Nothobranchius furzeri: one gene and its partners. The protein of the gene in region 5 interacts with the protein of the main gene of each other region in a biochemical or structural test. Links are inferred from orthologs where the notes say so. Each region holds a gene or a part of one and is shown on either strand. Other genes may lie near its edges. The genes, in order: rps15, arfgap1, CUE domain-containing protein 1, bag2, lrrk2, synj1 and matk.

What was found.
Region 1: of the proteins of lrrk2 (region 5) and rps15, one has a biochemical effect on the other in vitro, tested with the Homo sapiens proteins (2 studies listed by IntAct). The link is inferred for Nothobranchius furzeri from reciprocal best matches to the Homo sapiens genes LRRK2 and RPS15.
Region 2: of the proteins of lrrk2 (region 5) and arfgap1, one has a biochemical effect on the other in vitro, tested with the Homo sapiens proteins (3 studies listed by BioGRID and IntAct, with this or other methods). The link is inferred for Nothobranchius furzeri from reciprocal best matches to the Homo sapiens genes LRRK2 and ARFGAP1.
Region 3: the proteins of lrrk2 (region 5) and CUE domain-containing protein 1 form a complex in vitro, tested with the Homo sapiens proteins (2 studies listed by BioGRID and IntAct, with this or other methods). The link is inferred for Nothobranchius furzeri from reciprocal best matches to the Homo sapiens genes LRRK2 and CUEDC1.
Region 4: the proteins of lrrk2 (region 5) and bag2 form a complex in vitro, tested with the Homo sapiens proteins (2 studies listed by BioGRID and IntAct, with this or other methods). The link is inferred for Nothobranchius furzeri from reciprocal best matches to the Homo sapiens genes LRRK2 and BAG2.
Region 6: of the proteins of lrrk2 (region 5) and synj1, one has a biochemical effect on the other in vitro, tested with the Homo sapiens proteins (2 studies listed by BioGRID). The link is inferred for Nothobranchius furzeri from reciprocal best matches to the Homo sapiens genes LRRK2 and SYNJ1.
Region 7: the proteins of lrrk2 (region 5) and matk interact on a protein array, tested with the Homo sapiens proteins (2 studies listed by BioGRID and IntAct, with this or other methods). The link is inferred for Nothobranchius furzeri from reciprocal best matches to the Homo sapiens genes LRRK2 and MATK.

The regions. Positions count from the first base shown.
Region 1 is NC_091751.1:72,012,154-72,016,297, forward strand, and holds the start of rps15 (small ribosomal subunit protein uS19), read left to right. Parts: upstream 1-1,344; 5' UTR 1,345-1,430; coding exon 1,431-1,433; intron 1,434-1,755; coding exon 1,756-1,841; intron 1,842-2,824; coding exon 2,825-3,059; intron 3,060-4,144.
Region 2 is NC_091743.1:50,659,459-50,663,713, forward strand, and holds the start of arfgap1 (ADP-ribosylation factor GTPase-activating protein 1), read left to right. Parts: upstream 1-1,455; 5' UTR 1,456-1,637; intron 1,638-3,830; 5' UTR 3,831-3,841; coding exon 3,842-3,901; intron 3,902-4,255. UniProt on the Homo sapiens protein: GTPase-activating protein (GAP) for the ADP ribosylation factor 1 (ARF1). Involved in membrane trafficking and /or vesicle transport.
Region 3 is NC_091753.1:61,627,391-61,631,589, forward strand, and holds the start of CUE domain-containing protein 1, read left to right. Parts: upstream 1-1,399; 5' UTR 1,400-1,544; exon of another isoform or gene 1,545-1,624; intron 1,625-4,199.
Region 4 is NC_091752.1:19,643,860-19,648,034, reverse strand, and holds the start of bag2 (BAG family molecular chaperone regulator 2), read left to right. Parts: upstream 1-1,375; 5' UTR 1,376-1,629; coding exon 1,630-1,754; intron 1,755-1,938; coding exon 1,939-2,048; intron 2,049-3,643; coding exon 3,644-4,038; 3' UTR 4,039-4,175. UniProt on the Homo sapiens protein: Co-chaperone for HSP70 and HSC70 chaperone proteins. Acts as a nucleotide-exchange factor (NEF) promoting the release of ADP from the HSP70 and HSC70 proteins thereby triggering client/substrate protein release.
Region 5 is NC_091744.1:48,488,694-48,491,030, reverse strand, and holds part of lrrk2 (leucine-rich repeat serine/threonine-protein kinase 2), read right to left. Parts: intron 2,203-2,337; coding exon 2,053-2,202; intron 1,984-2,052; coding exon 1,760-1,983; intron 319-1,759; coding exon 232-318; intron 126-231; coding exon 1-125. UniProt on the Homo sapiens protein: Serine/threonine-protein kinase which phosphorylates a broad range of proteins involved in multiple processes such as neuronal plasticity, innate immunity, autophagy, and vesicle trafficking.
Region 6 is NC_091750.1:63,460,071-63,463,259, forward strand, and holds part of synj1 (synaptojanin-1), read left to right. Parts: intron 1-936; coding exon 937-1,232; intron 1,233-1,422; coding exon of another isoform or gene 1,423-1,443; exon of another isoform or gene 1,444-1,447; intron 1,448-3,189. UniProt on the Homo sapiens protein: Phosphatase that acts on various phosphoinositides, including phosphatidylinositol 4-phosphate, phosphatidylinositol (4,5)-bisphosphate and phosphatidylinositol (3,4,5)-trisphosphate. Has a role in clathrin-mediated endocytosis.
Region 7 is NC_091748.1:57,570,431-57,574,573, reverse strand, and holds the start of matk (megakaryocyte-associated tyrosine-protein kinase), read left to right. Parts: upstream 1-1,343; 5' UTR 1,344-1,632; exon of another isoform or gene 1,633-1,692; intron 1,693-1,734; 5' UTR 1,735-1,763; intron 1,764-4,143.

The DNA of each region.
Region 1 (4,144 bases), on a different chromosome or scaffold from region 5:
GGTTCCATCAAGCCCAGACAATTCCACAAAAGGGAAGAGAGGAGGAGCTCAGGGACACCAGGTTATCTTCTGTAAAGGAGTTTAGTTTGAGCAAATGTACTGCGCACATTTGGGGGCGGCTGTACAAAAGACTCTGCAAGCTATTTAGGTTAGCAGTAGTTTAAGTTATAATGTTAAGTTTTGATGTTTATAAATTGTGATTTTTATACAATGCATTTTTGGGCCTTAAAGGTTACCATAGCTTGGGCCGTGATGACGTAATTCTGTAAACGAGTCCCGCACGGTGTTGTAACGTTGCCTTATAGTCCTCCGAAGTCAGACCAGTCTCACCTTCATCAGCTGTTAACTTTATTTTCTCTCTAAGTGTTTTTCTCCCCAGAAGAAGCTACAACGATGTTCTGCTGAGCTGTGGTGGCCTCATGGAGGGGGCCATCGTCTAGCACACTGCTGCTAACCACTTAAACATTCTCCCTCTCCTGATAATAACTTTTTACTCTCTTTGACGTTGGATGTGCTACTGCTAGTTTACCCGTTTAATTATAGATCCACTAGGATAAATACAATAAAGTTTATCTCTCACCAAATAGAATATTTACTAAGACATCACAACATTTATGTTTATGTATTTAGCAGTCGCTTTTGTCCAAAGCGACTTACAAGTGATAATTGGCATGTAACAATGTAACCATAGAAACAATACTTGGTATACATGTTGTGGGGGGGGGGGGTTGCTGGTACCTATCTATCCCCAGGAGGGGTACACCCTAGACAGAGTGCCAGTCCGTTGCAGGGCTCCAAATTCGATATTGGTGAAAATGATTGTACCTTCTGTTCTAACAATATAGAAACTGAAGAACGTGTTTTTTTAAACTTGTAAATATACAAAAATATTCTGGGACAGTTTTTGTCTGTGGGCTTCAGATATTTAGGTATAATTTATTTGTCCTATAATCATGTTAAATTTGGAGCTATTTTGGAGGACAAGGAAAAACAATTCACAGTAAATAATTTGATCATTTTAGCAAAATTCTTTGCACACAAATGTAAATTTGGTAAACCTTCCTTTATTGTTTTTCTGAAGGGTCTCGTGTCTCTTTTGTTGCTCCAACAAGGCAGTAGGTATGATAGGTTTGTCTGTCACCCCTGCATCTTTGTGATGCTTTACTCAGCTATCATTATGAACGTTAAACATACATCCGTTTTCTTAAATGTTAGAAAGTAAACCTGTAAGCTTTGTTGTTAATAAAGTTTAATTTTAAAAAAGTGGTGGAAGAGTCCTTCTAGCTAATCAGAGGCGAGAAAGGAGGGATCTTCCTTGGGCATCCTACGATTCCAAATAACGCAACCCGCGTGACTCTTTCATGTCCTTCTCGCGATATCAGGCGTAACGAGACTTCCGGTCGTTCTTTTCCACCGGATCGTCGGGCAAGATGGTAGGTGTTGTTCTGACGCTAAAGCTTATCAAATGATAATCCTTGTGCATCTGAGCTTTAATGTCATCAAGAGTAACAGACGAGTTCATGGTGCTGTAGGTAGACATCTACAGCAACGATTTAGTGGGATATTGTGTCGTAATGACCGGTGAAGCTACCATCGGGAGGCTAGTTTTAGCTTTAGCTCCAGCCGCCTGTTCACAAACGGGATGGAGACCGGAGTGTGAGGCGTCTGCCGTCTAAAAGCTAATCTAACAGGGTGGTAGTAGAAATGCTAACAAGCACAGCATCGCAGTGGCTGAATGATGCTGTTCTCTCCCAGGCGGATACCGAGATCAAGAAGAAGCGCACCTTCAGGAAGTTTACCTACAGAGGTGTGGACCTGGACCAGCTTCTGGACATGTCCTAGTGAGTAAGCAAGAACAGTTCTGCTCATACGAGCCGTTGATGTCAACACCGGGTCACTTCAGGTATGCACTTGGAGAACGAGTACACACAAGGTCAGAGTTGTGTGAACCGATGAGAACGTCCTGCAGGTGGGTAGTCATGGTTGCAGTCTGAGGGAGATGAGGATGAGAAACGCACAGATCACGTGTGTGTGCGTGCGCGTGGCGGCTGAAGGAAATAGATGTTTTAAAAGTTCACCATCTGTAACTTAACAGAAGATGATGATGGTCGCCTTACAGCAGCAATCCAACTAGACTTAGTTAAGCTAGATACTTGGTCTCCGTGGTTTTGCCTCTGAAGCAGGAAAACGGTGAAAAGTTAGCTTGTTTTCCACCTTTATTCCCCCGGTGATCATGCGTGTGACCCCACCACACAGCAACGATTTACTAGAGTTGTGTAATATAACCCGTCTACTGAATATTAGATGAATTTAAGCTGCAAGAACGAGCCTGAGCGCTGTTTACAGTAGTAAAGGACTTACACGCCTCCAACGGGGCAACTGATGATGTCACGATCACGCCCTGTTACGATTGAAGCTGCGCTCCATAAGGTTTGTAACTGCTCCTAATGGTGTCTGGTCACCATGCGGTCTGGTGATCTGAGCTCCAGCCATCGAAGAGAAGCTCCAGGAGCGTCGCATCGCTCCGCTTTAAGATTTCAGCTGCTTGTGTTTCTCACACAACCACAACTTTCATTTTCAATACGGTTTCCTACCAAAGCTCAACTGTAACTCTACACCTGATCACGATTGTGCCAAGATGAATATGCAGTATCACTACCAAGGACAAAAGCTGCACATTCCCACATCGCCATGCCGCCACGGCGCGCTCATTAGACACCGTGGCGGCGGTATTGCGCTGATTTGCCAGCATGGCGTGTCTTAAGAGTTTGTAACGTAACACAAGAGACTAGTCTACCCTGCTGACTGTACTGTTCCTCTGCAGCGAGCAGCTGATGCAGCTCTACTGTGCCCGCCAGAGGAGGAGGCTGAACCGGGGTCTGCGCCGCAAGCACCAGTCCCTCCTCAAACGCCTGCGCAAAGCAAAGAAGGAGGCTCCTCCTATGGAGAAACCAGAGGTGGTGAAGACTCACCTGAGAGACATGGTCATTCTGCCTGAGATGGTCGGCTCCATGGTCGGCGTGTACAACGGCAAGACTTTCAACCAGGTGGAAATCAAGGTAAGAAGTCATTAATCAGCTGATTGGAGCTGCTGTTTTCTCTAATCAATCTAATTTCAACAGTAGACCTTCTCCTTAACCAGTAGGGGTGTAACAATACTGCAGTGTCATCGTAGTTAAATGACCACGGCTAACGCCTACCCTAGCGGTCAGTGGGAGCTTCATCACCAGATGATGACGGCACTCCCTGGAACATGGAATATGTCAGGGGTTTTTCCTGCATTCAAACTAGCGTGGCGGCCGCCTCCAGCTAATGCTGTGCCGCCCCAGCCTGATTTCACTGCCCCAGCTATATGGATGTTACTTTAACTGCAGTTGCAGCGGTGCGCCACTACAGGGGCGCTGTATCAGCAGCGGTGCACCGAAAAGAACTAAAACCGCAGCAGACAAAGATCAAAAATAGCTTTTCTCGCTAGTTGGTGCATATCTGGTTGGTGTTACTGACGTCCTGATTTCCCCCAGGCTCTTCCATGTCAGAGCAGGGCTGTACAGTGCGATGGAAACAACTGTCTGTGCCTCCTCACAAGGACACAATGGCAGCATCAAACTGAGCGGGGCTCAAACCTGCAACCTTCTGATGAACTCCTGAGCCACCATCAGGATTCTTTATGCTTCGTGCTTCGTGACATTTCCAGAATGACCTTTGGGTTAAAATAGCACAAACCCAGTGTTTCCCTTGAAATCAAACCCCCAACACCCCCGCTCTCACGGCCAACCCCCCCCCCCCCCCCCCCACACACACACACACACGCCTCTCCACAGCTGGACCAACTTCTAGGCCAAACATGTTCATCTTATTTGATGGATAATTTTAGTTTTGAAAGCTCATTTAAATGTGATCTAACCAGTTTTCCATAGGCCACGTTGGAGGTGTTCTACAGGGTTATCCGTGGTTCGTAGTCAAACCGCCAACCCTGTTACTAAGAGATGCTTAGGCTGGCGGCACTGGGCCAAACCCTGCCTGAAAAGTCATGGCGCCGTTTTTAGGCAGCAGAAGCTCCGGAGGTAGAGCGGGTTGTCCAGTAATCAGAAGGTTGCAGGTTCGATCCTGGCTCCGGACAGAGAATTCTGCTGTTGTGCCCTTG
Region 2 (4,255 bases), on a different chromosome or scaffold from region 5:
ATCTGTTTTATGTGTCTTAGGCTTTCAAATTTTATGACTGTTTTTCAGTTTTTTTATTGCTTCTTTTATGCTTTGTGTCTTTTATGTTTGTGCATTGTTCTTATCTGTGCATCACTTTGAGGCAATGGCTGTTGCCATGAAAATGTGCTATATCAATAAAATTTGCCTTGACTTGACCTGACTTAATGACTTGTTTATTATGATCATCTTCTACTGTGTTATTCGTAATTATGTAAAAATGACATAAGTTCATAAGTTCATGTCTGCAGAGTTTATTTGAATGGATTGTGATTTCCATGGATTAGGCTCTGGTCAGTCATAGGTCATGAGAAGGATATAATCAATTTGTGTGCTTATGCTGATTGTTTTGCAGAAGATAATTAGAAAAAATGCTTCATCAAAAGAGTATTTCTTATGATATTTTGATAAAACAAAAACTTGAATTTGGTTCTACACTGACCAGGTTCAATGTTACAACTGAGTTTGCTATAGCTGACCTTATTTTGGCTCATCCTTACACCCAAACCCTCACCTGGTCAGGTATGGACTCAGCTAGACCTGTGAAGTTTTGTGCAATAAACCGCTATGTGCAGTGTGATTAAGCACTTGTCTATCAGAGGCAACATTAGGCCATTTAGCAATTTGAGCTGCAGCAGCATCTGTTGAGTCGGAAAAACTAGATCTCCTTCAATGAAACCTGACTTCCCATGCCCCGTCTCATTCTTTATTTATTTATTAGACACCTTGGGGGACATTGTGATTGTGGCAGGTGGACAGCATGCCACAAAAGCTGCAGTAAATCTCATTTCACATAATGCACTGTGTTCTGAATGTGTCTTATTTTGACTTTGACTTGGCTGTCTTTCATTTAACCTGCCGCTGTGTAAAGTTACATCCTGTTTCAGGTTCTTATCATTATCATCAGTCACAATCATTTTTCCTTTGAAACATAATGCAGTCGTTGCATGAAGCTGTGCTGTTATTATGTTGTAGCTATAGCTCCATATCAATGCACTGTAAAAAGAGTTTGCATTTGATTAGCAGTATCTAAATAGAGTAGTTTAGTAATGAAACAATCACATTTTGAAAAACTTGATGTTTAGTCACGTTTTTTATTCGAGCTCCAATCGTTTATTTCTTTCATTTCTGTATTGTCAGGTTTTCTTGATTTTAATTTTTTTAAAACCTTCATTGTTGTCTTTTCAATTATTCTAATGTGCTTGTGCAGCGCTTTGTGATTTTTATCTTGAAAAGTGCTTCACCATCATTATTGTCGCTACTATTACATCTATGACGTCTAATATCTGTTATTCTTGTGTTTTTTGTTTCAAGAGCAAAAGTAGTAACAATCTATCCTGACAGGGGGCAGTAGCGCGCACTTTAAACGCACTTCCGATGTAAAAGATCACAAAGAAAGCTTTACCCATGATGCATTTCTCTGCCAACGTATGCAAACAGGAACACGGCTACCGGCTTTTAACATCGGCGGTATTTTAATTACTCTTTTGTGGAGCCGATAGTCTCTGACAGCCCGACATCTGCAGCTCCGCGGCGACAGAAGAAAATCCTCCGGGGAGTTTATCAGCGGAGCCAACAGAGTCTGAAAGCGGCGTCCTTGTTGTTCACCAGTCTGTCAGGTAACACGGCTAGCGGCTAGCTTACATTAGCATCACGAATCTGCCAGCTCACTGAATTTTTATCAGTTTTGTGTCTATTACGAAGCCCCGCTTTTAAATATTACCCGAGATTAGGAGCATTAACCGCGTCACCAACTTATGTCAAGACGTTGCTTGATTTCAACATAACTTGTGAATAAAATCAAGACTACTAGTGAGAGGAAGCCTGACACGACTACAATTTACTGAGGAAAAATGGAATGTTACCATGACAGTCACCGAAATGAATTTTTCTGAAATTGGTGTTTTTTTACGGGTTACAGCAAGTACAAAAACATCTGTTGCGTTTTACATTTTAGTCTTGGTCGTTAAAAATTTTACAACAATAAATAGTGAAAGCTATTTTAACTAACCAAAAACTGTTTTCAATATGAATCTGAGAGGGAAACACGTCTGGAATAAGTAGTTTTCTGTAGAAAATCTGAATGTAAACTACATTTTTCAGTTTCAGCTGCTTTTTGAACGTTCTTAAATCACTGCTGAAAGGTTTATTATTTGACAGCCATTTGCGTTCTGATTCACTCCTGATAATCTGACTTCCCTCTCTGGCCTCTGGCACTTTAACATAAACCATAATCATTTGTGATATGTGGATATGCCATAAATTTGTAGCTTATATGTATTTTAATTTCGAGTAATCATAGTATTAATTAGCATCTGCCATTCACATTTTCATTTGTTTCTCGCTCCATCATTCTGTCATTCTTTGGAAAATCCTGTGGTATTCCGAGGCTCTACCAGGCTCTGGGAGATCTGTCGTTGGTCCAGCAGATTCTGGTTTTGTGTCCTCTTTAATGAGCTCCCCGCCTTATAGTTAAAGCTGAGGCCAGTAAAGCTGTTGACTAGAAAGCCAGTTTCACCACTTTGTTTATGGGATCTTGTTCTTTGAGTCATGATCCAAATCTCACAAGTAAAAATCACAAATGAAAACATGAATCTGGAGGGACCAGTAAATGGAAAGTTTAGCTTTTTGACTCAGCTTCTTCGTTACCACCACACGCTGGGGTAGAGTGTGTGTTTCTCCAGATGAAGCTCCATGCTATCATCACTTCTGAATAAGATATTGAGATATCGACCCCTTAATTTGAGAAATGTATCTTTTCCAACTTGGAGGAAGTTTTCCACCGAGTTCGTTGGAGACTTACTTGAGCTTACTTAACTCTTGGGTTTGTTTGTGTGTTGTGAAGCACAAGGTCAGATCTGTGCCAAAATCTAAATTTAAAGAAAGTTCATATTGGGTGCAGTGCTCAATGACAACACTTTGGCATTTACCTTCAGAGAAATGTACACACGGAGATGTATAGTGTGTCTGGTGAACACTGAGTAAGCCAGTAGCTTCAGGGTTGGGTGGAATTGACTGTTTGCCAAAAGTTGTTAATTTAGCCTGAAATCCACCTGGAAGAGGGCACCGTACGGTTGTGGCTCCTGGTTGAGTCTAAACTCTGACAACTCCTGTTGTGCCCCGAGGATATTATGATCCCATTCTCACTTAGCTGTTGCCAGTCTCTTCTTCCTCCTCTTTACCAGTCTTATTTTTGCCAGGGCGTTCCACTGACAGCGTGACAGGGAGCATCCCAGAATCAAGACTGCAATTAGTGAAACTAAGCTACTTCCTCTACAACTTATCAGTCCCTCCAGCACGTCAAAGCCTTATTATTATTATTATTGTTATTATTATTATTATTATTATTATTATTATTATTGTCCCAGCAGCTTAAAATAAGTGATGGGAGATCAGTGTTAGTCATCATATAATACCATTTGAAATCTGTCCGTGTTTGTTGGAAAAAAAACTCGATTTATTATATGTCAGCAGAACTCTTGAGTTATCTCCAAAAGCATGTGATCTGATGAGTGTTTAGGTGACTTATCTCCGGAAAGAATTAACCACGTTTTTTTAGCTGCAGCCAGCTGATCTCGTCTTCTTTCCAAGCAAGCAGCGATTAAATAGCAGCAAGTCTGCTGTCTGGAGTCGGTCCAGGTTTGTTTTAGGATGCAACGTCAAAACGAGAGTTTCTGTTTAGTGCCATCCAGCCGTTGAAGGCTTGTGGATCAATCACTTATAATTACAATTAGTGTGTGAAATACTATTGGTTTAAAAGTTACATTTTTTCCTTTGATGTTAATAAAAGATCTACAAAAATTCTCTTTCAGTGTGGGTGATCATGGCGAGTCCAAGGACCAGAAGAGTTCTGAAAGAAGTGAGAACACAGGATGAAAATAACGTAAGTGGCTTAAATTTGCCCCATCATGCCACCCTGCTGCTCTTCACACAGAGGGTAGCGTTTGGTTGGCAGACTTTCAGTAAAGCACCTTCTGCTAGCTCTTCAGAAACAGGTTCTTTCATTAACATTCAAATGAATGGAGAGTCATTTTGGACGGAAACATCTCTGCCAGGTGACATTTGGTTGGAGAACTTATCTGGTAGTTGTAGCAACTCATCTGTGTTAGATAACTCACTAAGAAAACAGCAATATTACCTTTTAACTTAGGAAAAGCTAAATATATTTTTGTAGAAATAATGGTTTTAATGCCAGTGTAATGCTAAATAGATTTTAAATAATGAGGTTATACAGGAT
Region 3 (4,199 bases), on a different chromosome or scaffold from region 5:
CAGCCTGGGCGGGACTGCGAGCTGTGGAGGCCGCTGAATCGTTCCAGGAGTCACTGTGCTCTCTAACCCAACGACCTCCCACCCCTGTCCAAACGGAGGTGACGAGCGCTGCTTATCGCGGCTGCATTCACTGACGTGTGGAGAGTCCCAAACCCCACCTAGTGGACACTTATGTTGTGTAATGTCTGAAGTCTGTTGCATTTTGAGGTGTTTCTTGCAGAGCAAAGCTGCCCTCCCTGTGGAGGGTAACTCCAAAGTGCCTTTTTTCCTCCACCTGAACCAATCCTCATATGTAAACCCCTCTGATCTCTATTAAGGTAGCGCGACTCAGGGTTGCGAATGACCACAGTCACCAGTTCTTGTCATGTGTCTTTGCCTGTACCTATGTCTGATCTCTGAATTGTGTGTACTGAAACTCTAATTTCCCTCTGGGATTAATAAAGTATCTTTGAATTGAATTGAATTTGAATATGACCTCTAGTGGTTTGTGATCTGTCACTAGATCAAACTGTCTCCCATATACATATGGATGTAGCCTCTCACATGCCCACTCTAACGCTAGGGCCTCCCTTTCTGTTTGAGAATACCTTCTCTCACAATCTGTCAGACTCTGACTTCTGACTCTGACTGGCTGCCAGTCAACTTCAGGGTTCATTTCAAGATCCTGGTTCTGGTCTAGAGGGCCTTACATGGACAAGCACCATCTTACATTGGTGATCTTCTTAGTCCCTACACCCCCAGCAGGTCCCTGAGGTCCAGTGATCAAAGCCTACTGGTTGTGCAGCACCAGGCTAAAGGTCAAAGGTGACAGATCATCTGCTGCTGTGGCCCCCAGACTCTGGACCTCTCTCCCCCTGAGCCTGAGACCAGTGGACTCAGTGGTCTCCTTTAAAAAGCAGCTGAAGACTCACTTGTTCAAGCTGGCTTTTGTATGACCTTCTTCACCTCTCTCTCTTTATTCTGCTCTCCCCACCTATTCCACCTTCCTCAGGATCCACTGGTTTCCCTCCTTCCTGTTCACTCTCCCTCTTTCTTAACATTTTTAATCACAATTGTCTATTTTTGCTCATTTTAAATATATTTTTAAACATTTTCTAAATGCTTTTTTATATTTTTACATTTTTTTTGTGACGCACCTCGTGATTTTTATCTTGAGAGGCGCTATAGAAATGATATTTTCTTCTTCTTCTACAACCACGTCCCAGAATGCAACACATTATCACCTGTCTGTGATCCCAAGCCCAACTGGTCATGGCACAATGTGGAGCTCACACATTCACTAGAATGAAAAAGACTGATTTTGTGAGGGGGGATCTTTGGTGCCACCCATGCAAACAAGTGTCCCCTGGGCCACCCAATTTTACATGCCCTGGACACGCCACTGTGGTCCTGGAAACCCTTTAGTTGTCCTTATTTGTTTAAAATATATTCGTGTCATTGTAAATCAGTGGTAATATTAGGTTTAATTTCAGAGAAATCATTTGTGAGCGCGCGCCCTTCCCTCTCTCTGGACCTGGAGCATCCGGGTCCTGCTGCCTCCTCCTGTGAGTAACGGCCGCAACATTCCGCTTTTGTTCTGTTTGCTTCCCACCTGCTAGCCGATTCTGATCAAACAGCGAAGCAGGTTGAATTCTTGTTATATGCAGATGTGCTTACATGTCGAACGTGTTCGGTTCCGATTAGCCACGTTTCGCTGACGTGTGTGAATATTCGCGACTGAGACTTGCTGAGAAAGGCCTGACGTGTTAGCTTGAAGAGCTAACGCGTAGATACTAAACAGTTTACTGAATGTCCGCAGATGTTGTTACTCATAATCAGTGGCACTGATTATATTTACTTTGTTCTTAATCAGCCGATGTGTGAAATATTTTATATCATTTCCTAAACTAGCCGGTTAGCATCCCACTGATGATGGGACAAGCTTAGCCAGCTAACAAACAAACAAACAAACAAACAAACCCATAACAGCACATCATTTATCACACTTACATAATAATAAATATAATATATAATATAATAAATATAAATGGTGAATCAACAAGTCTGACTCAGATCAATGCATTCCTAATCAGAAATCACGTTTAATATCCAGATATCAAAATGTTCTTTAATAGAAAATATTAACAAATCCTAACTCAAAACACCAAATTATATTACAAAATAAATATTGCATTTTCTTAGTTTTCATCATTTTACAAGCTGTTGTTTTAGCCTAAAGTTTATTTTAATTGTCAGTTGAATTAGTCAGATACATATTTTGTGACTTTAGAAAATAATTAGTGACTGCTGAGAGGAAAGTATTGTTCAGATTGTTCAAAGAAGAGGAAAAAGAAGTAATTTATATTTATCTAAGATTTAGTGAGAAGCAGCCTCTTAAGTCCTTGTAACTGTTAACGTCAGACCTCTGTGGACTGGACCTACTACAGCCCACTGGTTTTGGTTCCTCTCCCTGTGTCGGCTGCTCGTGGGGCATGCTCTCTGGGGCCTCATTTATGACTCTTTGCTCTGAATCTTTACTAAAAGTCTTTTTAAGCTCAGCAAAACATTTGACTTATGTAAAGTAACTTCCTGTCCAGCCTGATTATAACAGATTTGGCTCATTCCCTTAAGTAGACGTAGATAAAGTGGGATGTGAACGTTTGGGCAGCCTTGTTAATCTTCATGAGTTTCCTGTATCGACCGTTGGTTGTTACGATAAAACATGTCTGTTAAATATGTCATATAGCAGGAACACACAGTGATATTTGAGAAGTGAAACAAAGTTTATAGGGTTTACAGAAAGCGTGCATTAATTGTGTAAACAGAATTAGGCAGGCACATAAATCTGGGCACTGCTGTCATTTAATTGATTCCAAAACCTTTAGAGCTAATTATTGGTTTGGTAAGGTCAGTGACCCTTGACCTCCATACACAGGTGACACGTGGGGGTCTGAAAACAACTCTTAAATGACCTAAAAACTAATTGTTCACAATCATGGTTGAGGGCATGATGATAAATGATAAATGAGCCGCACTTGTACAGCACCTCTCAGAGTGAGGACTCCAGAGCGCTTTACACTACAGTGTTGCATTCATCCATTCACACACACATTCACACACTGGTGGGGATGAGCTACGATGTAGCCACAGCTGCCCTGGGGCGCACTGACAGAGGCGAGGCTGCCGAGCACTGGCGCCGCCGGTCCCTCCGACCACCACCAGAAGGCAAGGTTAAGTGTCTTGCCCAAGGACACAACAGCAGAATTCTCTGTCCGGAGCCGGGATCGAACCTGCAACCTTCCAATTACCGGACAACCCACTCAACCTGTTGACCTTCTGCTGCCCCAATAATAAAGACTCTGCACAACATAATATGTTGTTTATGTTGTTTATGTGCTTAGCAGACATAAACAACACATAATAATAATATAAATCATGCTCTTCCTAGAAATGTGCTGATATGACTCTCCTAAACACCCACATCCTGCTGTAGATGTGCAATATAAAGTACCTTCATAGAAATAAACCAGCTGATGTTACATTGCATGTTGTTGCAGCAGTGCAGGGGGTTATGGAGCCACGGAGATCGCAGTGGACTTAAAAAAAACAACCTAAAAAGGAATTGGTCAGATCTGAAGGTGGAGGCAACGTAGAAGATGGCAATAGTCATTAGGTGCGTGTCCTTTAATGGAACGTCAGGATAAAGGCAGTGAGGGCGCAACTGACCGGGACAACCGAAGGCCCAGTCCTCCTAGTTGTTGTGTTTCCATTTACATTTAGGCTCGGTAAGGAATTAGTTAAAACGCAGCACGACCGCTGCGTTGTGAGCTATGTCATCGATTGGTGCAAATCACGCAGACCCCCCCCCCAAGCACGGAAGCCAAACGGTCCGCCTAAAACTTCCCTCCCAGGGGAAACGCTGATATTTTCCAACTGAGTTACAATGAATGGGCAGCGTTCCCGCCCACCAACTGCACCGGGCCGCTCCAACTACCTACCCCTCTTCAGGTTCTTGGAAGGTTCCTGAAGACGGCCGTTCAGCTGGCTCGCTCAAGTGGACACATGCACGTTTGGAGGTTATTATAATGATGCCATCCAAACGGCTCCATTTTGGTGCTCGGTAGATAATCATGACATAAGAGTATAATTAAATTTAAATCGACGAAAATTTAGACAGGAAATTTTTCATCACATCAAACAAATGTACTGGCTGCCCGTAG
Region 4 (4,175 bases), on a different chromosome or scaffold from region 5:
TGTGTTGATGTCTTGTAACTTTTAACACATAAAAGGTAGTTGTGTGTGTGTAAATTAAATTTGATTTACACTTCATTCAGATATTGGTGAAGTTTTCAGATGGAGCCTTTATGCACTTGTGCTGATTTACAGTTTAACAGGTAACTTCTAATGAACAGATGGAATTTTTTTCAAGAGCTTGTGAAATCTGCTTGTGTCGGTTTGGGATCACCTTGTTTGTGTGGATGTAGTTTTCCCCAAAATAATTCTTGTTAATCATTTCTATAAATGTCCCCAAAACAGGGAATGACGCATTAGGGTGGCCACCTTAAGGGACGTCCACCACAGCTTCTCTGGACCATGGGTAACTGTTACAGGACCTTTTGAAACAAGATCTTTATAATTGTTGAACTATTTACATAAAAGGATTAGGGCCACTGAAGAAGAAGTTCTTTTTCTCTTTTCTGAGGGAAAAATAATCAGAATTCTGAGGTTAAGGTTAGACGTCTCATAAATATTTACACCATTTTGTTCCTATTAGATTTTGAGTTTAGGAAGAAAACTTTTGCCAAAAGTGTATGAATGTATTTTTTGTACCAGATATTTATATTTAGGGAAATTATTTTTAAAAAATAGATGTAAAAATCTCATGGGTACTTTAAAGCAGCAACCTGGAGTTTCCCCCCTTCCAAGAATTATTTATGATTTTCTTTTAATCCATAAAAGCCTGTACTGTGATAACCAAGGCAATACATCTTTTTGAAATTTTCTTGGCGATTTTTGGGGGAGGTTGAAATCACGGCTCCCCCAAAAGGGTAATCAGCTCCCCCGGAAGCCATCAAACGACATACACATGGGGAGCTCGAAAAGAAGATTGGACGGAGAGGTGATCAGAGGGAAGACGAGCCCAGACTGATGCAGAGTTGGTAACATTTCTTATGGACAAGTAAGTCTTTAAAATATACATGATAAACAGCACAACATGACTGTTCATAAAAAGGCCATAATCATGGAAACTGAGAGGCCTAGGGGTGTAATGCAGTTTTCACCTCTAGATGACAGGTGTCACTGCGTTGTGGGAATTCAGTTCAATTAATCCATAACAAAAGGCTGCTTAAATCTCACTTTTTCTATTATATCTATGATTATTATAAAGTAAAAGCCATTCTGGAAGGTCCACTGTGGCTCCAGAGTTGCGGGTTGCAGACCACCACAGGCTTTCATCTGTAGTCTGGAGTGAAAATGAATTATATATATATATATAGGCCTGGATAAGTTTATCAGAATAACTTGATTACTTTACCAATCTGCCTAATAAAAATTATGCCCAAATAAATCAAGACACATTACTTAAAACTGCAAAGTGAGTTGGAACATTATAGGTCTTTTATTTCCGTGGACCTGGAGGAGCTTGCTCACGGACCTCTGCTGGTCCACGCTCCTTACGATTGGGAGCTCCAGCTCTGGTCTCCTCGGGAACTTTCTGCCGGAGTGAAGGAAGTCCATGTTAGGAAATGTTCCCCCCATGGGGCGCTGCTGCTGCCTGCCTCAGTCCGAGGATTTACACCCAGCTGGACGGCTCGGAGGGACACACACTGGATTTTGCGCTCACCGAGGGAAAGCACTGTAGCCATCATCTTCGTCTTCATTATGGCTCAAGCGAAAATACAAGCGAAAATGAACGAAGCTGCCCTCTGCAGCAAGTTCAGCAGGACGCTTTCTATGGCAGACCGCTCGGGGCGACTCCTGGAAAGTTTGGATCAGCTGGAAACGAGGTAACAGGCCCTTGTTGTACCATGTGTGCTACGGAGCCGCTATTTGCCCCGGCCGCTAACATTTATTGGCATAAACCTTTTATAAACACTGTAAACAGGGCAATGTGACAATAAATGTTTTTCATAACAAACATAACTGGTTTGCAGCGTGTTATTTCATATGCTGTCTCTCTTTCTGTGTCAGAGTGGAGGCTTTACGAGAAGCAGCATCTGCCATGGAGCAGGAAAGGGAGTGCATCCTGGAAATGATTCAGTCCATACAGAACAGTCAAGAAATGAGGAACATCTGTGCTGGTGAAGCTGCTAACTCTCTCTTAACTTACATAAGCGCAAAAGTCACGCACGGCTTAATGCCAGGGAAGATACGCGGTTATAAAGGGGAACTAGTACGGTTAATGTATTTCTACCAGAATCCCATCTCCTCTGATCTCACCCAGACCCAGTTTGTGTGAACCAGGCTCATGTTTCACCTCTGGATCGTGTGAGTCAATAGCCTACATCTGGTTTATTGATTTGGTTCCGCTGTAAACAGACAAAAAGGCCTAACCCTTAAAGCTCATTATTTAAATCCAGAGTCTGACCAGGGTAGACCGTCTAGTCATGTTGGTTTATGCTCCATTAAACCTCATTAATGTAAGTTAGTATGATTCACACGAGCTCCATGGTTCACCTAGAAACTCCTCTCAACTGGTCAGGGATTTGAAAGAAGGGCTTTATGTAAAGGTGCATTATGTAAGACTGACATCCTGTGGTCAAATTTGGTTACTGCAGACCACATTTGTAAGCAAAAGTCACTGCCGTGAGTGTCAATCAAAATCAAATCAAAGATACTTTATTAATCCCAGAGGGAAATTAGAGTTTCAGTACACACAATTCAGAGATCAGACATACATGGGCAAGACATATGACAAGAATTGGTGACTGTGGTCATTCGCAACCCTGAGTCGTGCTAATTGAGATCAGAGGGTTACATGAGGATTGGTTCAGGTGGAGGGAAAAAAAGGCACTTCAGAGTTACCCTCCACTGGGAAGGCAGCTTTGCTATGCAAAAAAAAAAAAAACACCCACCTCCGACAGAGATGCAACAGACTTCAGGCATTACACAATATAAGTGTCCACTAGGTGGGGAGGTGGGTTGGGATTATCCCTACTTCAGTTCCTGCAGCCACGATAGATTCTCATGGCGCAAAAGGGCCTGTTACAGATCAGCACCAGAAGATTCTAGATGACAAGAAAAGATGAGTTATAACCTAATCTTTGAATAAAATTTGCAAACATAACCGAACATTCTGTCCGTTAAACACTAGGCAGTCCGGCTCCGACTTTGCTTCCTGTTCAACTACTCTAAGCCAAGAATGCGCAATACATCCACAAATACGGGTATGCGCATACAGCGGAGGGACTGTCAGAGGGGAGTTTGATGGATGGATCATGATTCAGTCATTAAGAACGGGATTGCATGTTTCAGAGGAAATGAAAATTATTAGTTTTTCGACAAAGCATTTACTTTATTGGTTGCTGTACGATGTGATGACCATAACAAGCAATATGGCAAAAAATGCTCCAGAGAAACATCGTCCATCCCAATAAAAAATATGTTTGGAAATGTTATTGCATTCATTTCTTCCAATTAATATCAGTGGTATTTTGGTGTCAGCTTGTTATTATTGACAAGTTGGCAGAATCATGGAGAACATCATGAATATTGCTTAACAGGTTTCAGTGGGGGCAGTATTATGGTGTGGGGTGGGATCTCAGACAAATCAGAGCTTGTACTCATTGAAATAAACTTTTAGAAATATGAAATGACTATTGATGTGCTGTTACAGCCGCATTAAAAGCAGTTTCTTTCCTATAAAGATTTAGTAATATGTTTACATGTCTTCTAGGTGAGAGGGAAGAGTTATCTTTGACTGCGAACCGTCTGATGGGCCGAACGTTGTCTGTGGAGATCTCTGTTGGCACAATCAGAAACCCCCAACAGGAGGATGCACTACTCAAGGCCACGTCTATGATAGACGAGATTGTGAAAAAGCTGCTGAGCGACATGGAAGGTGGCCGTCAGCAGCTGCTGGCCCTGCACGCTGCCTGCGTCACGGAGGCACCGCTCGTCCCTATTGACCAGAAGTTTCAGACCGTGGTGATCAGCTGCGCTCTGGAGGACCAGAAGAAGATAAAGCGAAGGCTGGAGACTCTGCTGAGGAACGTTGAAAATGCCGAAAAGAACATCAAGATAATGGATCACCAAAAACTGGAGGGCACAAAAGCTAACGGGGGTCACTGAGACCCTTTGCCGAGGTGTCTTGAATTCCACTAACCTCACAGAAAGCTATAGTTAGCTTTTACACATTTAATTAATTTCAGATGGACTCTGCTTGAAGCAGCAAGGAGAGGTCTTATGGGAAAATGCCATACCGAATT
Region 5 (2,337 bases):
TCAGGCATGAAGGAGCTGCTCTTTCATTTTAGCAGCGATCTGCTCTCTCCTCTCACAGTGCTTCTTCAGGTCTTTGACCTCATGTGGCAGCATGCTGTTCCACACCATCAGCACAGACTCCTCATCTGTGAGACACACACACACACACGCACGCACACACACGTAGAGCGAGAGCCTCCCAGCGAGGTGACTGTTTTCCAAAAAGGACACCAGAGGACACATCAGGCTCACCATCTTGATTCTTGTCTCGTGGGAGTCTTCTGCCCAGAACCAGCACCACGTTCTTCCAGTCCAGTGTCTCTGCTCGTGAGAAACCAGCTTTAACACACAGCGTGCAGAGAGTCGTCTACGGGCAATCGCCCCGAGAAGCCAAACAAGAACCCAGCTGGATCTGGATGTTCAGCCTCACTTATCTTTATTTTCTCTACTTTTCTTTGTTTACCAGTTCCCACTGTCACTGCTACACATAACTGCACTTGAACTGGTCTCTGTCCAGTATCACTACAGCGCTCACTAGAGCTGGAGGATGGTGCTGATGGTCTCAGAGGGTCTGATATTAGACCAGTGGTTGTGACCCCGACTGAAAGCTGAAATAATGAAAACTTAACTCTTTTTGTACTTAAAGGTTCCAGATTGTGCTGCTTTAAACCTTTCAGAGCAAAGGCAGGCACAGTTTATGATAATATATCATCATTGGCACTATTGAGATGTCATTTATCTTAAATAGAAGTTAGTTTCATCAGCCCAAATTTATACCGTTACAGCAAAGCTCCGCCCACACCGACAAAACGTGCCTAGCACAGCGTCTTCGGCAAGTCTGTATGGGCTATGGTGGTCCAGCGGTAAGAGCCCAGCCAGCACTCCAACCACTGTACTACCACGTCTGTTACAAAACAAAAAGCCTAAATCTCTTGTGCTGGCCATTATGTGCACCTTTGTAGATGTTTTGTCATTAATGTAGGAGGGAACGGAGAAATGCCTGATGAGGTAAGTGGGATACTTTCTCCTGGAGGCAGGAAAAATCTTCACATTTTAATTATGGCTGAGGCAGAACCATGCATGAATGCAGCCAAAGATGGGTTTGGGGTCTTTCACATGAGAAAATGACCATATCACATATAAAATGCTCCCAAATGTGTTTTTTATGATATGGAACCTTTAAGCTAACCGGTTTAACCCTCCCACTGTCCTAGTGGGTGTGACCCCATGAGGAAAGTTGACCATTGAGTAGGGTTGATGGTTTATCCCTTGGGTCCATGTGGCAGGGGTGAGCACCACCTCACCCCTGCCACATGGTCAACTTTCCTAACGGGGTCACACCCATAAAGACAGTGGGAGGGTTAAACCCCCTAAATCAGTTATATAATGAACAGTTTCTTTGGTCTTATTTGATTAGCAGAGTAACTTTGGGATCCACTGGTTTAGAAATCTGAAATTGTGTTTCTCTGACTTTTGTTTCACGCCAAAATAAAAGAAACTGACCTGAAACTAAATCTAATTCCATTCAGGCTCCACAGCAGTGTTCAGACTTGTTAAGACAATAGTCAAAATATCCAAGTTAAACGTATCCACTGGCCTCTAAAAATCCTACTTTTTCATTAATAAATGCTAAGATGTTTAATTCATCAGCTCAAAAATACATTAAGCATGCAATACTTTAGAAAAAAAAGAAATAACTGGTGGAAAAGGTCACTGAGATGAAGCTCCGTTGTCTAAAGCAGAACATCTAAAGTCCAGCCTGAGTGAAAGGAGGACCTACGTATGAATGCTGAGGTGATGGAGCGAACAGAGTCACACATGGGTGCCGTGACCTGCAGTGGCTGGTGTTTAGAGAGCTCCAGCAGCAGCAGGTGGCCGCCTCTGGTGCCAATCCAGAGAGCTGCAGAGCTCTGCACCAGCAGAGCTTTCACCGTGGCCCAGGAGGACGAATCAGAGCCCAGATCCACTCTGCTGCCCCGCCTCCATCTGCACGCAGAGTCGTTCCTGTGAGGAGATGACACGTTTATATGTGGCTGTGTGTGTGTGTGTGTGTGTGTGTGTGTGTGTGTGTACCTAATAATCTGAGCACAGTTGATGCAGTCCACCATCCTCTCGCTCTTCTTGTCCCAGACTTCAACAGTCGGTGTTCCAGCTTTACTCAGGTACACGTATTTATCCACAACCATTCGGGACACACACGCCTCACTGCTCAGTAGCTTCTGCCTGAGGGAGCACACACACACACACACGCGCACACACACACACACATTAGATCTATGTGCTGATCTGGGCCCGTTGTTAGATCGACCAGCCCACCAGAACCACGCACCTGCAGTAGCTGCACAGTTGGCTGCAGGC
Region 6 (3,189 bases), on a different chromosome or scaffold from region 5:
GCTGACTAAATACTTTTTTGCCCCACTGTAAGTTAATGGTTTTAGAATACCATCAATAACTCTTTTAACCAACACCATATCAATACCGTCACAATCAGTGGAGACTTTGTTGTTACATTTATCAGCAACTGATTTAACTTCCAACTCATCCACTGCTGAGAGGAAGATTGAGTCTTCTACGATGCAGAATCGTTTATGTCCGCATCTTGATGCCTCGATTATTTAATTATTTTCCTCATCTCTAACGTGCGTGCGTGTGTGTGTATGCGTTTGCGGGAGGGTACATTGGAACTTTGTCCCCCCCAGTTTGAAAATCCTATCTGCGCCCCTGGCGTATCACCACTGCTTTGACAGTGAGTGGTGTCTCTGATCAGTGCCAAAAGGTGTCCACAGACATTAATATTATTAAAGGTTTATTCTATTAAAGTACGCCTTGGAGGGAACGGGGAGAACAGCTGTGCGATGTTAAAAGTGGCATGAATTATGACATTGTTGGGGGGGTCTCTGTTGTTTTTTTCAGCGTTGGGAGTTTAGAAACTCAGATTTCAAAGCAGTGTGAGCGTTGCTTACGTTTATTCTTGTTCTAATTCGCTTCAGTAGCAACTCTTGCAGTTTTACAAATGCAGCTTGTTTGGAGAAGTCTGCTGATGTCATTTCCTACTGAGTTACAACCAATCAGCATGAGTTAACCACAAGTCCCGCCCAGCGGCTGTAGCAGACCTTACCTTAGTTCATGTACTTTGTTTGTTCCTGAAACGACCCGGATAATTGGTCCTTTTGGGCCGGCCTGGTAAAATGGTTGCACACGCATGCCATGAAAGTCTGGTAAAATGACCTGAAAGTTCTGATAGTGGAAGTGGGCCTTTTGTCTTAAAGAGGCTATGTTTATAGTTTGTCACCTTTAAACATCGTCATTTGTTCTGTTTCTCCTCTCAGGCCCCCCACCATCTGGACCCCCTCCTGCAGTGAATCCCCAGGTCCAGCCTCAGCCAGCTCCACCTTCCGCTTACCCTCAGCTCCCACCACCAATGCAGCCCACGCTCCTGGCTCCTCTGCAGCCGCAGCAGGCCTCCACACCACCGGCATCGACTCTGCCTGCTGCAGCTGCTCCCACCGTCCCCCCTGCTGGGCCTCAGCAGAGCCTACCCTCTCCTAAACCTCCACCTCGTTCCCGCTCGTCTCACACTCTCCAACCCGACGCCGCCAAGTCTGAAACGGCCCCAGCTGCACAGGTCGGTGCCAACTTGGAGTTTCTGTGATAACACAATATTAGCAACACTTTGTCTGACAATTTAGTCATGTCTTCTAGCAGGAGGTGTTGCAGAGAAAATCTTCTCTTCTTTGACTCATGTTAGGGTAGTTTAGTCGTCTATGTCGTTCTTCCTGCTTTTGTCTCTGATGCATTTGTCTCTTTCTCACAAGCTGGAGAAACCATCTGGGTGAAAAGGTACACTACATTAAACCAGCTTTTTGTCTCATCCTCCATAGCACAGCAGTTCCCTGCTCTAACACCCCTCTGTTTTAGTCCACCGTCAGACCTTTTACATGTTTCTCTTTTTGGAAAATAAAGATTGTTACCATTTCCCTTCACTTGACCCATCATATGCTCTCAACAGCTGCGTTTACATGAGCCAAATTTCCTCAATCCGATTGAAATCCTGGTTGATCGGAATTTCCGAATCTCTGTTCACATGGACACGAACTGAAATGATCCGATCATGCCGTGCGTACATATGCACCAAGCATTTAATCCGATTAAATAGGTTGAGCATGCGCAGAGTTGCCTTTCCCGAAAGAAAAATTGTAAACAAACGCCATGAAACGACATGAAAAATGTAAAAACTGAAATAACTATTCTTCCTGCTTTCCAGATCCATTTATTCTATTTAATATTTTTATTTAGCTCATAGAAGTTACGTTTTCTTCAGTGAGCAACTGCAGATATATGCTTTGCTGCATTTTATTGTTGATTAAAATAAGGGAGGGTTATGTCTCTGCCTCTCGATCAGCTGGTCCGCGGGTCTGAAGTGACAGCTGTGCTGTTGCGCTGCGGCACAGAGCGGGGGGGGGGGGGGGGGGGGGGGGTTTAGACTCATGTTTTATTACTGAGCTCTGTTGTGGCTTATTATTAATAACATGTGACAATCAGCTGAAACTGTTGAGAAAAATCTGTTCAAACAAAATAACAGAAGATGTTCAGAAAGTTTTAGAAGCCTGTGTTCATCATTCACGAACCGCATCTCAGGTCATCTGCGTTTACGTGCTTCTAACACGGACTTTACTGTCGTCCAGAGTATTTAACCGAGGACGTTTTCCTACCCAACATCAGCCTCCAATCAGGTCTGTAAAACCCAGATTATCCTGTATTCTTTACAAGCGCGCCTCCATCACCTGCTGCAGAAGCTGCTGCGTTCAAAGCTGACAGAAACGAGGTTCCTTGCGCTGCAACCCCTGCGATAAACCTGCGTATTTCCAGTACAGATTGGAACATGTTTGTCGAATGATTTGTGCAATAATCAGATTTTTATTTTACTTCCACAAAATGCAAGTTCTGAATTAAATATTACTGAAACAGGGACGGCTTGTCGTCGGATTTAAAAGCCGCCGCGCATTAATTACGCCGTCATTTTTGAAGTCAGGCAGTCCAAATGACAGCGGAGAGGCCCGCTCGCTGTTGCACACATGCGCAGTGGGCATTATTTTACCCCAACAATCCGAATGGCTGTGTACATGCACGTCAATCGGAATGAAGAACGGAATAAACCACCTCTCAGTCGGATTGAAATTTCAATCCGATCGGGCCGAATCGGATCAGAATATTCCGATTGACATGTTTACATGCAGAATTTTCGATCTGATTGGGCATTCAATCTGATTAAATGTGCGCATGTAAACGTGGCTTCTGTGTTAGAGGATTAGAGTGAGCTCATATGAAATCTGTGCTTTATGCTATAATTTTTGCCAAATCTGTTATGTTTTTGTTTATTCTGTTCACTGTGACACATAAATCATTGTTTTAAATCTGCCACATTAAAGGTACCCTTAGGATGTGCAAAAGGTCAAATTCAAAGTTCAATAACTTTATTTGTAACTAAAGAGTACGACCAAAAGATCAATTTAGAGATTTAAAATAAGAAACTGCTTGAATGAACTAGTTACCATTTGTGTCAGTTGTCCAGTGTCAAAAAA
Region 7 (4,143 bases), on a different chromosome or scaffold from region 5:
AGAGAGGTTTGTTTTTGCACAGTTAAATGCTTGGGGAGCAAAGCACTTAAGACATAATAAAGTATGCAGCCGTACAATTATGCTTAGTAATTTTTATTTCCAATGGATGATGTGCAGATTGGAGAAGATTTAGTTGGGGGGGGGGGGGGGGGGGGGGGGGGGGGGATCTGTAGAAATATAGCGGTTACAGTCCTTTGACCTTCCTCCTTGTGCCTGAATCATGTATTTAAAAGACAAAGTTTGAGGAACATTTATATGTTGTTTTTGTGTGGGTAGTGCTGTTTTGGTCTCATTTATATGAGTTGTATAGGAAAAGGACAGTTGCACAACTTTGGCTTCTAAAAGCAGACCTGAGAGACTTGCTGTGTGTTTTTAGTTCCATATTTGTTTACCAATAGCCTCTTATTGCTTATTTTATTTACAGCGGGTGTTGCGGTCTCTTTTGTATTGTTGAAACAGGAAGTGTGAACATTGCTGTCTGAATGTATTTGTAGTGTTGCCTCATTAAGGAGGGAAATAATAAAACACTCTTAAGCCATTTTTTGCCTCCTTGGTTGTTTAATTTAACACGTTCAAAGAAGTATTTGCCTTTTCTGAAATTATGAGTCAGCTATGGTTAACATTTGGAAAGCTGAGTTCAGGTCCACACTCAGGATTAGTTACTGTTAGACCTGTAGGATTGACCTCAGTGGGTCCTGTTTGACACTCGTGGTGAGTTTTGAAGAAATTCAAGAACAACAACCCATAACTAAATCAAACGCAATTCAGGTCTTGCTTTATTAGATGAACAAAAAGCAACATTGGCATCACTGAGAGTCCCGAGACAAAAACCTCTTCTGACCAAAGAAGAAAACCAGAAACACCTGGCTCATAGTTGCAAAGAAAAGTCCTAGAGTCATTTGGAAAATGTTTGTTGTCACATCTGCTGTAAAATTAACACCATGTCAGACAAACATACCAACAAGCATGGTGGTGACCGTGTGATGGTCTGGGGCTGCTTTGCTACATGACCTGGACTACTTTCTGTAATTGATAGAACTATGAATCTTGTGCTGGAGCATAAACCCCCAAAGTAGAATGTTTGACCTTAAAGAGGCGGCCGCTCTGGAAAATTCTCAAAAGTGGCTGAATTAAAACAATTCTGCAAAGAAGAGCGATGTGAGACCTGTTAATTATCTTTGATAGAATGTGTTCCTTCTAACAACATCCCGATGTAAGGTTTCACTCTGGGCATCAAGTAGTTTTTGTTCATTTAGTGAGGGAAATCATCCAAAGTGTCTTTTGTGTTTCCTCTGGTCAGCTTTCAGTTGTTGACCGTTTGTGTGTGTGACACCAAGCTGTCCAGTAGGTGGTGCTGTTGCTGCAGTTGCGATGACAGGATGCATGAACCACAAACCGCAATCTTCACTCCGCCTCCTAGAACAATAAGAGATATCTTTGCGAATTCCGAGGAAGTGTCTCTCATCAGAAGTCGTCCAGGATAGAGGATTAGTAATAGAGACAGCTACAGCTGAACGGAAGCTGGAAACGAGATGAAAATCCAGTTTGAAACCATCTGACAGCTGTCGGAATTTTAGTTTTCATCTCACATCCGGCTGCTTTTAAGAAAATAATATTTCCAGAGAGCGGCAGGTACTGAAACATGAACAAACGTACCAGCGGCTTTTGGGGCAAAACCAGCTGATTTTACAGGTAAACAGAAAATGTAAATTTAATTATTTCTTTGTCTTACAGAACATCCAGAAATCCCTGCAGCTCACAAGGTAGGAACAATACGTTTAAGATGAAATGATAGAAAGTTGTTTTTGTTCACCAGCACCAGTGTAAAAATTATCCAACCAGAGTTTGTTATCAAATGTATAGCAAGCTGTTATAGCATTTAATTCATTAACCAACACACTGAGAAAAAGTTACAGTTTCAGTAAAAAAAAAAAAACACATTCACTGCATTTATTTCGATTTTTAAACGTGTCTTTTAGTAATTTTCAACTAGATTTACTCTATTTTGTTGATATGCATAAATAATTCCCTGCTAACCAAAAACAAATTTCAAGTACAAACATTTCAGTGTTGTTCAAAACTTCTGGGGCTTAATCCATCCCAAACTATTACTACCCATTAACTGTTGGATCATGTAAATATGTCATTTTTAAATATAAAAACTACTAGCCATACTTTTAATTTCCTTTAGAAGGTTTTGGTAAATAAGAAAAAGCAAGAATAAGAGTCTGATCATGAACTCAATTGTTAAACAGAATTTAGACAAGTTTTGTTTTAAGTTGTCAGCTCTTATTCTGCTCTTCTATGAAAACGGTTTGCTGAGAAGAAACAATATGAACTGCTTGTTGTCTCAAAATAATTTCCTTCATTTTATCATCTAAGATCTTGTGGTCCCTATGTAGGTCATCTGTTCTCTTTTGTTCTAAATCTGCAGGCTTAAAGCAGTCACAATCTGATTTTATATATAAGGTCCTCTGGCTCCTTTAAATCTTTTACTTTTTTTCAGATGTTAGAAAACATTTTCTTATGATTTCTGACCAGCTTGACTTGTTTTTTAACTAGTTTTGAACAAAAATGTTTGTCAAAGGCCTGTCCCATTTCTCATTTCTCTCTGTTCTTCCAAAGATCTACCCCTAATACAAACTTTTAAACAGCTCTTGTATAAAATGTGGCCAGGTTTTCAAAGTTTTTTTACAGACATGTTTAATTTTTCTATTTTACAAGCCTGTTGTATGTTTCCACTGGTCACCTGTGAACCACCGCAGCACGTCACACACTTCACAGAGAAAACTCTTTTGAACTTCAGAAACTTTTATTAGTACAGACTCATCATTTCCCCGTGTGGTCAAGACCTCTTAAAACAGAACTGCTTTGGGCCGAGCGTGTCTAGGCTGTAAACAATCTTTATTCTCTCAGAGATGGAGATCCTGTGCTCCAGCGTGTGGCTTCCTCTATACCCTTAGCTGTTCAAGGCCAAACAGCATCATTAAACCGATGCGACACTGTGACCTGTAGACTACTCACCATGAATTATTCAGACCCAAAACTGCTCCTATACAGTCAGGTTAAAGACAGTTTAGAAACAAATCACAGTTTGTTGGCATTTTTAAGCTGAATCTATGACAAATTCTCAAGAAATCCGTTTTGACATGTATCCTAGTGTTTTAGCACTAATAAAGGGATTCCCATACCTCTAAAACCTCATCATACACTTCTTATTTATCTCAGGTCCTGTTTCACATGACTTTCACACACCATTTGTCTGCTGCTGTAAACAAGTTTTAGATCTGGCGTTTCTTCATTTGTCATTCATGTGTCCACTTTCCATATTTTAATGGCACCCTTCACGTTTTCCTGAACCAATCAAAAGAAAACTTCAAAAGACCTTCAAAAAGTTGGAAAAATGTATGTATAACCTGAAGACTATCATGAAATTTGGCATTTTTATGTTTATTGGAAGTTGAAATTAAAGTTAAATATATGAAGAAATAATGTATATAATAAAACATTTTAATAGTTACAGTAGGTAAAGAAACAAAACAATCTTTTATATAGCGTCTCAAGATTAAAATCACGAGGCGCTTCACAAAAACAAAAAAAATGTAAGTACAAAAATATTTAAAAAATGATTAAAACATATTTAAAAGGAGAAAAGAAAAAAATGTGAGGAAAGAGAGAGAGAGAAAATGAATGGGAAAGAGGGAAATCAGTGGATCCCAGGAAAGGCAGAATAAGAACAGAATAAGGAGAAGTTGGTGATGAAGGTCACACCAAAGCAAGTTTCAACAGGTGAGTTTTCAGCTGCTTTTTAAAGGCCCAATGTGTGATATTTCATCTTATAAGTTATCAAATTTCTTGTATCACATTCTCAAATTTGTTTTTTTTTAATGATAATTCAAACAAGCATTTATTCTAAGCATTATTATTAGCTTTATATTTTAATATTTTAGACAAAAGAAGCAGACCGGTGCTCCATATGGCATGCGCCATCTTAAAATACAGTGACCTTTTAGGGACATACAACATATTAAGCTTCGCATTTGATGTTTGCGTTTTTAAATGATGTAACCTCAAAGAAACAGCAGGGGGCAGAAGTGCGCCTTGTAAGCATGCAGTCTGACAAAGTAACTAAGAAGAAGAAGA